3 linked regions of the Arabidopsis thaliana genome follow. The protein of the gene in region 1 purifies or fractionates together with the protein of each later gene. This does not show direct contact. Each region holds a gene or a part of one and is shown in the gene's direction. Other genes may lie near its edges.

Region 1 (5,153 bases):
CATGAATGAGCCATGAAGGATTCAAAACTATGATTCATAAAATACTGCCACAGAATCCAAACCTCGTATGTATCCCCCTTCTCCAGAATCTTCACGTAATGGACCTGTAAAACACCACCCTCAGACAGAATTGTCCGTGCAGTACTTCCAGCAGATCCTTCTGGAATGGCAGAATTCATTGCAGCTTCTGACACCTTGAGGCTAAAATTTGGGGTGGAGTTTGAAGGTGACAGGGCCTTCATTCTAGCTTGAAGAGATTCATATTGAGGTCGAGGCTCACCCATTCCATTACGGCTTCTTACTCCAGACCTTTTATCACTTGCCATCAGTTCTGCTAATGATCTCAGATCCAGAGTTCCTTTCAAGTAAAATTCTTCCACATGAATGTCTGAAAAGCTCGGTAAGTTTAATGATGCCACCAGCTTGTCATAACTTGGGGGGATTTTGTAGATGACACCATCACCAATGTCCAAATACGAAGGTTCATATGCTATCCTGCAAATGATGCAAAATTCAACGTGTCAATCTAGGAAACCCAACACCGTAAGTTATCTAAGCGGATTACACAGGGTTACACGGATCCCATGGAACATGAAAAAACATATGATCAACATACTTGGGTGTAATATCACGATCATGGTAGCTTCCTCGCCTATGTGGGGTCACATCAGCTGCAAAATTTGGAGAGTTGTCCATGTCATAGAACCTCCCATGGTAATCATTCCCTGGTTTCCTACCTCTGTAACTGCCCACATTGCTCTTTAGCACCGGAAAACCCATCAGATGAGGAGGATTCCCTTGAGTCTCCTTGGACCTATTTTTGAATTTTTGTACATGCTCCCCAAGCATTGATCGGTAGTGCTCCTCAGTAACATGTTGATTGTAGAGATCATCATCGTCCTCTGCATCCTCAGCTTCTGTCCACCGCTTTCTCTTCTTGGAGCTCGCATTCATTCTCGATTTAGACCCATTGCTGTAGTTTGCCACTACCCCACCTTTAACCATTACCAACCATATAGACAGAACACAGATAAACGTCACTTAAAACTATCACAGTAGGTGGCAAAAGTAATTCCATAAAACCAATTAAAAACTGTACCTTGAGTGCTTCTACTTTCATCCTGGCTACTACTCCCATAATAATCAACTTCATCTTCAGGTTTCGGAATTCTAAACTTCATCAACGGCTGCAAGAATGAAGAATTTAGCCACAAAACCCACACTGAATTTCAACAGTAAAACAAAAACACACTGTAGAAACAAGGAGAAGCTATACAATTGCAAGATTTCCAATCACCAAAACTACATTCATCACAGTCACATGATCATCATCCAACAAGTACAAACCATCAATTTCAAGGAAATCACAAAAAAATTGAGACCTAACAGACCTCGAGATCGAATAGATTCGCGTAAGGAGAGTCCTTCGGTGGTCGTCTTGAAGGATCCATGAGAGACGGGAAGAGAATAACACGGCGTCAAAATTTTGGAGAGTCTTAATCCTTAAAAGCTTCTAGACAGAAACATTCGTCACGAGAAAGAAAAAGAGTTCGTCTCGAAGAAGAACCCTAATCCAGTATGATAGAGGAAGAGGGCGAAAGGTTAAAGACGAACATGCGCAAGTTAGTGGACACAGGCGGTACAGAAAGAAGTCCAGACTACTAACATACGCCAAACGAATAAAGCTTCTTACCGTGCGCCTCTCCACAAAAAACATTTAATTATTATTTTTTCTTAACCCCTCCGGTACCGGCCGATCAGATAACGACGGCTAAGTTATCGTTTTGGAGATAAAAATACCTTGTGGGGTAAACAACAATATATAAGAAGTAAAGGGGCGAATTTATAAATATTGAAAGCTCATATTCGAGAAAACCCTAATTTCAATATACAGGATTTTTTACCTCGTCGTCTCTGAAACTTCATCTCTGCCGTCTTAAGAAGATTTTGCCAGTGCGGGAAGCGGCGGAGATTGAGAGATTAGCGACGATGGAGGAAAGCAAACAGAACTATGACCTGACGCCACTAATAGCGCCTAACCTGGACAGACACTTGGTGTTTCCTATATTCGAGTTCCTTCAAGAGCGTCAGCTTTACCCTGATGAGCAGATCCTGAAGTCTAAAATCCAGCTTTTGAACCAGACGAACATGGTTGATTACGCCATGGATATTCACAAGAGTCTCTACCACACTGAAGACGCTCCTCAAGGTATTCTTGTGTATTCCTCTCTGGATATGTCTGTGAATTTGCGTTTTTGTGTACTGGTTTGTTTGTTTGATGATGAATGTTGAAATTTGTGGTGATAGAAATGGTGGAGAGAAGAACAGAGGTTGTCGCTAGGCTCAAATCTTTGGAGGAGGCTGCTGCACCACTCGTGTCTTTTCTTTTGAACCCTAACGCTGTGCAGGAGCTAAGAGCTGACAAGCAGTACAATCTCCAAATGCTCAAGGAACGCTACCAGGTTGTGATTTGGATGATTAAGTTGTTTAATTTTGTGAAATGTTATCCAGATTTGGTTTTGTTTGTGTATTGTGGAACACAAATCTTATATGGCTTGGTGTCTTATCAGATTGGTCCAGACCAGATTGAGGCTTTGTACCAGTACGCCAAGTTTCAGTTTGAATGTGGCAACTATTCTGGTGCTGCTGATTATCTTTACCAGTACAGGACCCTGTGCTCTAACCTTGAGAGGAGTTTGAGTGCCTTGTGGGGAAAGCTCGCATCTGAAATATTGATGCAAAACTGGGATATTGCTCTTGAAGAGCTTAACCGTCTCAAAGAGATTATTGACTCAAAGGTTAGTATTTAAAACTTCTTCTAGTTTGCGACCTTTGAAATCAATATAGATGTGAGAGTATATATGCTAACTACCATTTGTTTTTTCAGAGTTTTTCATCGCCGTTAAACCAGGTGCAGAACAGGATTTGGTTGATGCATTGGGGTCTGTATATCTTTTTTAACCATGATAATGGAAGGACACAGATCATTGATCTTTTTAACCAAGACAAGTAAGCCTCTACCTCTCTGTTATCTGCATCTCTTCTTTATACCTTTCATCACCATCTATTTCCTTGCGTTTTAAGATAAGCATGATCTAGATGCGATGAAGTTATGTATAGGTGGTGTTTGTGTGTAGAACTTTGTTTATAGTTAATGTTAGTCCTGATGTGCCTACAAGTAATTAGCAGTCACTAGTTTTAGAGTCTTCTCCTTCTTTTCATCCAGACCTATTCTTAAGATTGTGCTTTGTGTATGGGCATTTGCTGAAAAATAATTCACTTTGTTTTCATGCTGCAGTTCTGTATACTAATTTGATTTACTTTTTCAGGTATCTGAATGCCATCCAAACTAGTGCTCCACACTTGCTGCGCTACTTGGCAACTGCTTTCATTGTCAACAAAAGGAGAAGACCACAATTGAAAGAATTCATTAAGGTCATTCAGCAAGAGCACTACTCCTACAAAGATCCAATTATCGAGTTCCTGGCATGTGTGTTTGTCAATTATGACTTTGATGGGGCTCAAAAGAAGATGAAAGAGTGTGAAGAGGTAACTCATCCACATGTATAGATATTTTTGTTTGTGCAGAACTGTGCAATCAATACTCTGACATTTTAACATGATGTAGGTCATTGTGAATGATCCATTCCTTGGCAAGCGAGTTGAGGATGGAAACTTTTCAACTGTACCACTGAGAGATGAATTTCTTGAAAATGCCCGCCTATTCGTCTTTGAAACCTATTGCAAAATTCATCAAAGGATTGACATGGGGTAAGTTCTCACATTTGGTTGTATATGTTTACACATAACTCTGCTCTCCGGATTGCTCAATGTTTGGAATTTTCTCTATTCCTTATCTTTCCCAACACATGAAAATTGCCATATCCAGCTATTTAAGTTGAGAAGAATTGTTGCGGTCTTGTGGTTTAACTTTGTACTCATGTCGAGCCTATATTTCCCTTGTCAGGGTACTTGCTGAAAAATTGAATCTGAACTATGAGGAGGCCGAGAGATGGATTGTGAACCTAATCCGCACCTCAAAGCTTGATGCCAAGATTGATTCTGAGTCAGGAACTGTAATCATGGAGCCTACTCAGCCCAACGTGTAAGTAGAATAAGCTTAAATCTATGATATCATTCGTATTCTACAATCTAATCTTGTTTCCGCTTTATGCAGGCATGAGCAGTTGATAAACCACACCAAAGGCTTATCAGGACGAACATACAAGTTAGTGAATCAGCTCTTGGAACACACACAGGCGCAAGCAACTCGCTAGTCAAAATTTTGCTGTGGAAGCCTTTCCTTGATAAAACTCACCTTCGGTTGACTGGAATTATTTTCTTTTTCTTGCTCTGAGTTCACCTTTTACTTTGAAAAAGATTATTATGGAGTTGTTCTATTTGAAATGTTGGATCCACAGATTGGAACATTTTCCAACCAAATCAGCATTTTGTATCCACCCTAAGCATTTAAAGGTTTTTGCAAGCCAACGTAAATTACTGCCTTACATTGAGCATCTCTGATTTGCGTAATAGTAAGTACAATAATAGCATATAACAGAAGTAAGAAAAACAAAACTTAAGAGTTAAGACTATGACAGTGGAAAGAACAGGTCACAAACAAAACAAGTATATCAATTCGTAAATAGTATAAAGTTACTCCAGAAGTCCAACTCGCCAGAGTCATCAAAAGAGAGAAGATAAATTCAATTTCTTTGGAGGTGGGTGCCCTCCAGAGAGTACCACATAAGAATAGAAACACAACATGCAATGGAAATGGCATATAGTGTGTTTTGATCTTTCCAGTGGATCTTTTGAAGCGAGTATGAAAATACCATTTACCACTGATGGTCGAGTTACTATAAGCAACATGAAGGACCGTTTGTGTATATCAGAGGGGAAGGACATGAAACAAGAGATATGGTCATTAAACTCTCGCAAGAAATGGGAGAAGACGTATTCGATTGATTTGAATAGAACTTCCATTTGGTGTCGCCGCCATCCGAATTTGCCAACAAAAACAATCACAACATTTCAGAAAAATAAGATTTTGCTTCATAATTGGAAGATAACTGGCCGTACTTTAATTATACATGATCCGGAACAAAATTCTTATGATTTTAGCTTTTAAATTTCAGCATAAAGGGGTTTCT
Region 2 (4,355 bases), on another chromosome or scaffold:
ATTGTTAGTGGTATGAGATATATTGAAGAAAATAAGTATAAGCAAAAAAAATGTTGATAGAAGAATTAAATAAGCAATAATTTCAAAAGGTATGTAATGTGGATGAAACGGCACATGTCGTTGTCACGTGGCTCGTTCCCATCGATTCAATGCATATCTCGACCAACTTGACTTATTAATATTCCTCGTACAACTCTCCAATCTAAAGCCACCTTTCTTCTACGTTATACATTTTCTTTTTCTGTTTTCTTTTAAATACTTTCTCCTCACAAATTATTGTTTTCTATTATCTAAAATCAATACCGTTAGGAAATGGTGTCTTTATAACACTTTAGAAAAATATAATTAATCATTTTCTAATGTATTATTTTTGTAATTGAGTAATTTGATTTAAAAATATAAACTAATATAATAATATTGGTATTTAATCATTTCAAATATTCTTAATTATATTCTTTTTGAATACACGCATATTGTTCTAAACTATTAATTTCTTACAAAAATTCTATATTATTTATTGTGTCTACAAACAAAAGAGTCGTCTAATCATTTTTGGTTTCATTTTTTTTTTGCTAGAAATCAAAAACAAATTCCTCATTTTTTTTGAGGTAAGCTAATGTTATTTTCTAATAACAATCATAAGTAATACCCGTGGTTTAAAGTTTACACGGTATTAATTAGGTACTACAGCCATGGTGGACGGTGGATCTTCATCACCTAATCCGTACAATTAAGAGACAATTAATTACATTAAATCATGTGCATTAGTTGATTTAGGAACTAATTGATAAATCAACTCTAAAGACTAAAGTAGTGCGATAGATAAAGCTAAAGTATATATTTTCTTCAGTATAAAGATAGGAATATATGGGGACATATACTTTTGTCGATTTTGTATCCAGCTTTGCATCAGTGAAGTCTGAGCGAAGATATGACCAGACTTAAAAAGCAACTAAAAAGATGCATAACAGAAACACAAAAATAAAATTCATGCATCTGCTAGTCATAGAGGTTATTGGATTCATTGCACGTATCTTAATGATTCGTTTTCGTTTCACCTCCCTTGCTACAAAAGATTTGAAAGAGAAAATGTTAAATTCTTTAGGTCAGAATCAATTAAGATAATTTCATTTTCTTCTTGTGTTTTGTACGTCACTTGTTTCTTTTTTCGTTGGTTATGTACCAAAACATGAAAAGTTCAAAAATTGTTAATTAGAAGATTAAAGAGAAGAGTAAGAATAAAGATGAAATGAGGAATTGATATGGAGGAGTAGGACCCAAGTTTGCAAGGATGGTGGCTGGCTGGCTGCTCTGTTGTTTGTTACATCTCATTCTCAATCTTAATTCCAATTCTATGTGCTTCTTTCACTATTTCCCTATAGAATACCATTCTTGTTTTTTTTTTTCAATTTTCAAAAACCACTATAAGGAACTTTTTCAATAGTTGCTTGTTTGTTTAGACCAAGGAAGATGTCAAATAGATTTCTTCACTTTTCAAGTGGAAGCAAAATTATGCGGTCAAGTGTATTATACTAGTGTGTGTTTTTTTTTGGTTTAATACCGACTAATTTCTAACTCTAATCTATCAGTGAACGTCTTAAAACTAATATTGCTGAAGAATATATTGTTCTCTGCTACAGCCTACAGCATTCAAAGTTTCATCAAAAAGATAAAATGTATATATAACTAAAAGTTTTGGGTTAATAGATAATAGTCAAAGAAGACATTCGTGTTGAATGTTTCTTTTTTTTTTTTTTTTTTATCGTGGGGATTGATTCAATGCATTGTTCCAACCTTTTGACTCTTTCTCGTGTTTCCTTTTTTATTCGTTTTCTGAATTATACTTTTTAGACCCTTTCCTCGAATTTTTACTTGAGCCCTACTCTAGTAATACATAAGCATATATATAAAAATCTCTCAAATTTGATTAGGACAGTTTTAGTATATAAAAAAAGGAAAAAACGCATTGTTTAAAACGTGGTCATGACGAAAACGTTTGATTTCGATCGATGATATTTAAATAAAGGAAACACCTAACCATATTTATTCTTAACTGATCAAAGATCCTCCAATTTCACGAAGCCTAAAACTCTCAAAAACAGATTCAATAACGTCACCAAACCTTGAGGCTTTTTAAAGGAAGAAGCATTTGAGAAAATCGTAACTTCTTGACCCTATGCATTCTGCTGTGTACAAGGTATGGTTAGTGCTTGTAATATACAATTATATAATCTCTTTGTTTTAATAAGTGGTTGCTCATTAAGATGAATGTTACTTGTCTAGTGAATGAGTATGACGTTGTTGTGGTTATCAGGTTGGTCTTCATTATCTTTCTTGGGATATTTCTGGTGGCAATGCCAGATGTATTGCGATGCTCCAAGCATTCCAAGAGGTTGTTAAAGATTACTCGACGCCGCCTGAGAATACCCTTAATAGAGACATGACTGCTCAAATAAGTAGCTACGTCTCTTTCCTCATAGAATGCCGTCCGCTTTCGATTAGCATGGGAAACGCAATCCGATTTGTGAAAAACAGGATTGCAAAGCTGCCTATAACACTTTCTGAATCTGAAGCAAAAGCTTCTCTTCACTCAGATATTGAACGTTTCATTAACGAGAAAATCATAGGTGCAGATACAGTGATAGTCGAACATGCTGTCACTAAAATAAGAGACGGTGATGTCCTTCTGACCTACGGATCTTCCACTGTCATTGAGATGATATTAGTGCATGCACATGAACTCGGGAAAAAGTTTCGTGTCTTTGTGGTGGATTCTCGACCAAAGCTTCAAGGGAAGCTACTGCTTCGTAGATTGATCAAACGAGGCATTAACTGTACATACACTCATATAACTGCCATATCATATATCATGCACCAAGTCACCAAAGTGTTTTTGGGCGCCTCATCAGTTTTTTCTAACGGAACAGTTTACTCAAGGGTTGGCACTGCTTGTGTTGCAATGGTGGCTAATGCTTTCCGTGTTCCTGTGCTTGTTTGTTGCGAAGCCTATAAGTTCCATGAGAAGGTGCAGTTGGATTATTCAATATGCTCCAATGAGCTCGGTGATCCAAATGCTATTTCAAAAGTTCATGGAAGAGAAGACATAAACTACTTAAATGGCTTGACCAACAATGCAAAGCTGAAGTTTCTGAACTTGATGTAAGCTAGCTTGTGTTAATCGTACAAGTGAAACTATATATGTTCTGTTAATACTATTCTTCTCTGCCTGCCACTAAACCCGTTTGTGATTTTTTTTCTAATGATAGGTATGATGCTACACCTTCAGATTACATTTCCATGATAATCACAGATTATGGCATGGTAAGATTAATCATATCGGCTCTTAATTAAAAACATAGCATTATGGTGATCAAGTGATCTCATCCCTAAACATAACTCATGCAACACAGTTTCTCCACTCATTCAGAATCTCAAACCATTGAACACTGACCATGTTTTATATTTCAGGTACCTCCCACAAGTGTGCCTGTCATCGTAAGAGAATATCAGAAAGAACACTTGCTTCAAAGCTCAAAGATTGTTATTTAGATGCTCAAAATAGAAGTAAGAATAAAAATGAAATGATATGGAGGAGTAGGACCCAAGATTATAAGGCATGGTTGCTGTTCTGTTGTTTGTTACATCTAATTCTCATTCCTTATTCCAATTCTGTGGGCTTCTTTCACTATTTTCCCTATAGAATACCATTCTCGTTTTTTGTTTCAATTTTCAAAAACCACTATAAGGAACTTTTTCAATAGTTGGTTGTTTGTTTAGACCAAGGAAGATGTCAAATTGATTTCTTCACTTTTTTGATTAATGTTTTGGGGTAATTAATTAGTCAAAGAAGACATTTGTGCTGAATGTTTTTTTTTGCTGAATGTTTTTTTTTTATCGTGGGGATTGATTCAATGCATCATATTGTTCCAACCTTTTGACTCTTTCTCTTGTTTCCTTTTCTTTTCTTTTTAGACCCTTTTCTCTAGTATAAGCATATAAATCTCTCAAATTTGATTTCGACGATTTTAATATATATATAAAAAAAAGAAATTCGCATTGTTTTAAACGTTGTTATGATGAAAACGTTTGAATTCGATTTTTTTTTTTTAATAAAAGTAAACACGTAACCATATTTATTCTCAACTGATCAAAGATCTTCTAGTTTCATGAAGCCTAAAAAACTCTCAAAAAACAGATTCAATAACGTAACCAAATAACATTGGAGGCTTTTTAAAAGAAAGAAACGTTTGAAGAAAATCGAAACTTGTTCACCCATATCACATTTTGGCTGCTGCTTCTGCCAAACGCTTCTTCTTCTTCTTGACACTAGCTGATTTGTAACCGCCTTTACACGG
Region 3 (3,973 bases), about 20 Mb from region 1:
TTAGTGCCCCATACAATATTAAAATGTTGAGATCGATTCCCTTCTGTAGTTTTTTGTTTTGCTTTTTTCTTTAATTTTTTTTTTTTGTTTGTTGCTACATCCGATACATCTTTTTGTTTAGTTGTTTCTTACATTTTGTTGTTTCTTTTAAATAGTTGCATTTTTTTTGTTTTACTTTTCTTCTTAATTTTTCTAAGTAACTGTAAAACTTTGCTTTTTTTCTTTAATTAATCTTTCGTATTCCAATTTAACTTTTGATAAACTTTTAAGATATGTTTCTATATTGTAAAATTAGTAACTACACTTCAATTATATATTTTGTGTAAACTAGTAAATTAGTAAAAATACAATTTTTGTTTGCAGTTTATTTAATATTTATGGTTGAAATTTGTGAAATATATATATATATATATATGTAAATTATATATATATATTAGCATTATTTAATTAATAAAGTAAAATGATATATTTTTAATATCTAATATATGTAATTTAGTATATTTAAAAACCAATAGCTATAATACTTTTAAAACAAATTTTTAATATCTAATATATATAATATATACCCTGTACAAATTCAAACTTGAAAATTTATGTTATACGCGTCAAGAAAATTCAATGGAACTAAAACGAATAAAAAAGATAATGAAAAATGGCAGTAGGGACATACGAAGAATTGAATTAGGTTGACCCATTAAAAGAAGATAACAATAATTGATCTTAATAGTAGATAATAGGCTAAGAAAGCAAAATGGTAAAATGGTCGTTAATTGATGACATGCATGTGGGTATTGAATGTACAGATCAACGTACTTCTATTCGTACCCAACTCCAACACACACTTGTTCAGTGCCAACCATTCTTCTCATATCTTCCCTCCATTCATTTTCTTGTCGGTCCTTATAATCTTTCCCTCAAGATTTTCCTTGTTACTTTATAAATATATTATTTTGTGTCTATCCATTATTATGAATATAATGCAAGAGGGTCTCATCACTACCAGCAACTAATAATCAACGAATAGATGGTGTTATTAAATTTTGTCCTCATATATATATTTGGCGATCTTAAAATTTATACATGTTCCAGCGAATGGTCGAAATCTGATCAGTACAACCTTCAAATGATCTTTTGCGGTGGAAGCCAACTCATTTTAACACACTCGTGGCTTAACAAGATCAAAACATTATATTCTGTTTTATAATAGTTTCTTTTGAGCTTTAATAATTACTCTTCTTTCCCAAAAGTTTCATAATATTTCTTTGCAATAACTCCGGCAAACAATTCTTATTTGTTAAATAGTAAAAGTAACACGTTGACAAGACAAAAAATGATTATTCCCTACATTGTAAGTGTAAAACACCAAAGCACAACGAATAAAATAAAATAAAAGTTTCTTAGCCGTTTGTGTTTTTCTTTTCCCAAAAGTTTATATTAAGTGTCAAAGTACAAGTTAATTAGTTCTAATCAGCTGAACACAACTATACATATACACATTAAACTGTCATTTAGTCTTAAGTGTTTGACATTGGTTAATTCTAACTCAAAATTGCTGAATTCGTAGCATTAATGAACCCCAGTTTTGTGTTATGTACAGAAAATATTGACTCGTGGCGTGGGGGAAACAAAGACTTTAACCAATGTCCAATGACAATTGTTTGTGACACTAGGCTATAAATATTTTAGGCCCAGTGGGCTTCGTTTTATTTTCCCATGTAAATGTTTATTAATCAAACCTAGAAAACCAAACGGCTAGGATTAAGTAAGCCCAAATTAAAAGTTGAGGCCCATACAAAGAGAACACAAAAGAAACCCTAAGGAACTTGTAACTATATAAAAGCTCCGACTTCGATTCGGCGTCTCTTTCCTTCACCTGAGCGGACGAAAACACTCAAGCTTGCAGAGATCTTTCACTTTAATCCTTGAGAAGTAGCAAAAATGGCTGAAAAGGCGGTCACCATCCGAACCAGGAAATTCATGACCAACAGACTTCTCTCCAGGAAGCAGTTCGTGAGTTCCATTATTTTTTTTCTCTTCTCTATCTGCATATCATTTTTGTTCTTCTGGGTTTTGTTTTAATGGGAATCTAGTTATAATTTGATATGAACCCAATCTCGAGAGAATGCATTCGTTGTCTCGTCAAATTTTTATAATTGGGGTTTGATGTTTTAGGTCAGGCTTTCAGATTTACGACCTAATGTTAAAGCATAGATAGTGTTTAGATCATATAGTATTGATCTGGCGCAATTTAGTTCCGTTTGAGATTTTGGAATGAAATTCTAAGTTATGGTGGATTGTTGAAAATATAGGTTATTGATGTTCTTCACCCTGGAAGAGCCAATGTTTCAAAGGTTTGTTCTTTACTCACTTTGTTACTTCATCTATTTCGAGTTCTGATAGACTATGAGAGGTTCTAACGGGAGAGTTGGTTTTATTTTTGCAAGGCTGAGCTGAAGGAGAAGCTAGCAAGGATGTACGAGGTCAAGGATCCAAATGCAATCTTCGTATTCAAATTCAGAACCCACTTTGGAGGTGGTAAATCATCCGGGTTTGGTTTGATCTATGATACTGTTGAGAGCGCTAAGAAGTTTGAACCCAAATACAGACTTATCAGGGTAAATGCTTTTTCCACTCTTGTTTCCATTGTTATATATTGCTACTCACATTGACCCGTCTTAAATCATTACTCTTGCTCATTACTGTTTGTCTGAAAATTATAAGCTATGTGATAAGTTTCGGACTTTATATCGTATTGCACTTGGTGTTCTCTGCATCTTTATACTTAAACATGCTTTGTCTATGTGGTTGGCAGAATGGACTTGACACTAAGATTGAGAAGTCAAGGAAACAAATTAAGGAAAGGAAGAACAGGGCGAAGAAAATCCGTGGTGTTAAGAAGGTATGTATACTGGTTTTCCCTCTTGCTATCTTCTGTTTTTGATTGTGACTGTAGCTTTAAGAATCTGTTTTGATCAATGTTTGCAGACAAAGGCTGGTGATGCCAAGAAGAAGTGAGATCCTGAAGAGAGAATCTTTATCTTGTGGGTTCTTGTTCTCCATAATCAATCACCTTTTATGTTATTTGTCCGCTGTTAGATCGTTTCTCCAACTAGACATGTTTACTGAAATCTGAGATTTTCGTTTATTTTTGTTTTGGTCAGTTTATGTTTTGAGTTTAGAGAAACATATGATCCAAGGTTTTTGTTCAATACAACTATTTAATCTCTCTCTCGTCTCTTTCCACCATTCCCATGCGCAGCAGATATAAGCATTTTCTTGTTCCTTAGGTGATTTAATTCTTGATCGGTTACTCGTGCGGCTGTGTTTGATTGTAAACGTGAGTCTCTCTGGCTATTATCGATGTTATTTACCCACATATAATGAAAATTTACTTAGATCATAATTATGAAATCTCGCAAAGTTTCTAATTTATTATATCACTTTTGCTCCTTACTATTTTAATGGAAAAACTGTGATAATTACATGTCAATCACTGAATTTGAACAGTAATTATAATTTTCTATACCGCACAACATATGCTTATTTTGGTTTTGGGTACTGTCTTATTAGTTACATACGGTTTAGGTTGGCTTGTTTGTTTGTTTTGTCCTAGCTAATCACGTTAATGAAAACGCTCTACCAAATAACCGCGTTTAGAAAACGCTATTAGTTACCGAGTGTGGTTGGGACCGAGTGAGGACGTCACGGCTCCAACCAATCCGCAAATAAGGAAGCGCGTGTGTGTAAGTAGTGGGTGACCACTTTGCCTAGTCTTAAACGTTAAGTCTGGAAATACCAAAACTACCCCTGGTTTGGTCGAAGATTCTCACGCCCCTACCACCCAACCCAATCACAATCCTCGTGAACGAACACACCACCTTCTCTCCAATCTGGATCTGGTTCCTCTTCTTCTTGGTCTCTTCTCCATCTCATCGGAGCTGATCTCGAATTGTTCTCCGTTCATTTGTTACGG

Evidence for each region. The genes of interacting proteins can lie anywhere in the genome.
Region 2: the proteins of EIF3E (region 1) and AT2G44070 fractionate together in Arabidopsis thaliana (co-fractionation; one large-scale study listed by BioGRID). This does not show direct contact.
Region 3: the proteins of EIF3E (region 1) and AT3G04920 fractionate together in Arabidopsis thaliana (co-fractionation; one large-scale study listed by BioGRID). This does not show direct contact.

The regions. Positions count from the first base shown.
Region 1 is NC_003074.8:21,195,910-21,201,062, reverse strand, and holds EIF3E (eukaryotic translation initiation factor 3E), read left to right. Parts: upstream 1-1,743; 5' UTR 1,744-1,989; coding exon 1,990-2,209; intron 2,210-2,307; coding exon 2,308-2,462; intron 2,463-2,570; coding exon 2,571-2,798; intron 2,799-2,887; coding exon 2,888-3,009; intron 3,010-3,329; coding exon 3,330-3,549; intron 3,550-3,628; coding exon 3,629-3,771; intron 3,772-3,967; coding exon 3,968-4,105; intron 4,106-4,177; coding exon 4,178-4,277; 3' UTR 4,278-4,546; downstream 4,547-5,153. Other genes in the region: INO80 (DNA helicase INO80-like protein), read right to left, coding at 63-495, 617-995, 1,100-1,187, 1,392-1,451. UniProt on the Arabidopsis thaliana protein: Component of the eukaryotic translation initiation factor 3 (eIF-3) complex, which is involved in protein synthesis of a specialized repertoire of mRNAs and, together with other initiation factors, stimulates binding of mRNA and methionyl-tRNAi to the 40S ribosome.
Region 2 is NC_003071.7:18,230,291-18,234,645, reverse strand, and holds AT2G44070 (NagB/RpiA/CoA transferase-like superfamily protein), read left to right. Parts: upstream 1-2,015; 5' UTR 2,016-2,176; coding exon 2,177-2,197; intron 2,198-2,314; coding exon 2,315-3,159; intron 3,160-3,238; exon of another isoform or gene 3,239-3,256; intron 3,257-3,266; coding exon 3,267-3,321; intron 3,322-3,468; coding exon 3,469-3,549; 3' UTR 3,550-3,781; downstream 3,782-4,355. Other genes in the region: AT2G44065 (Ribosomal protein L2 family), read right to left, coding at 4,278-4,355.
Region 3 is NC_003074.8:1,359,051-1,363,023, forward strand, and holds AT3G04920 (Ribosomal protein S24e family protein), read left to right. Parts: upstream 1-1,786; 5' UTR 1,787-1,938; coding exon 1,939-2,010; intron 2,011-2,309; coding exon 2,310-2,351; intron 2,352-2,444; coding exon 2,445-2,615; coding exon of another isoform or gene 2,616-2,669; exon of another isoform or gene 2,670-2,812; coding exon 2,813-2,899; intron 2,900-2,985; coding exon 2,986-3,015; 3' UTR 3,016-3,399; downstream 3,400-3,973.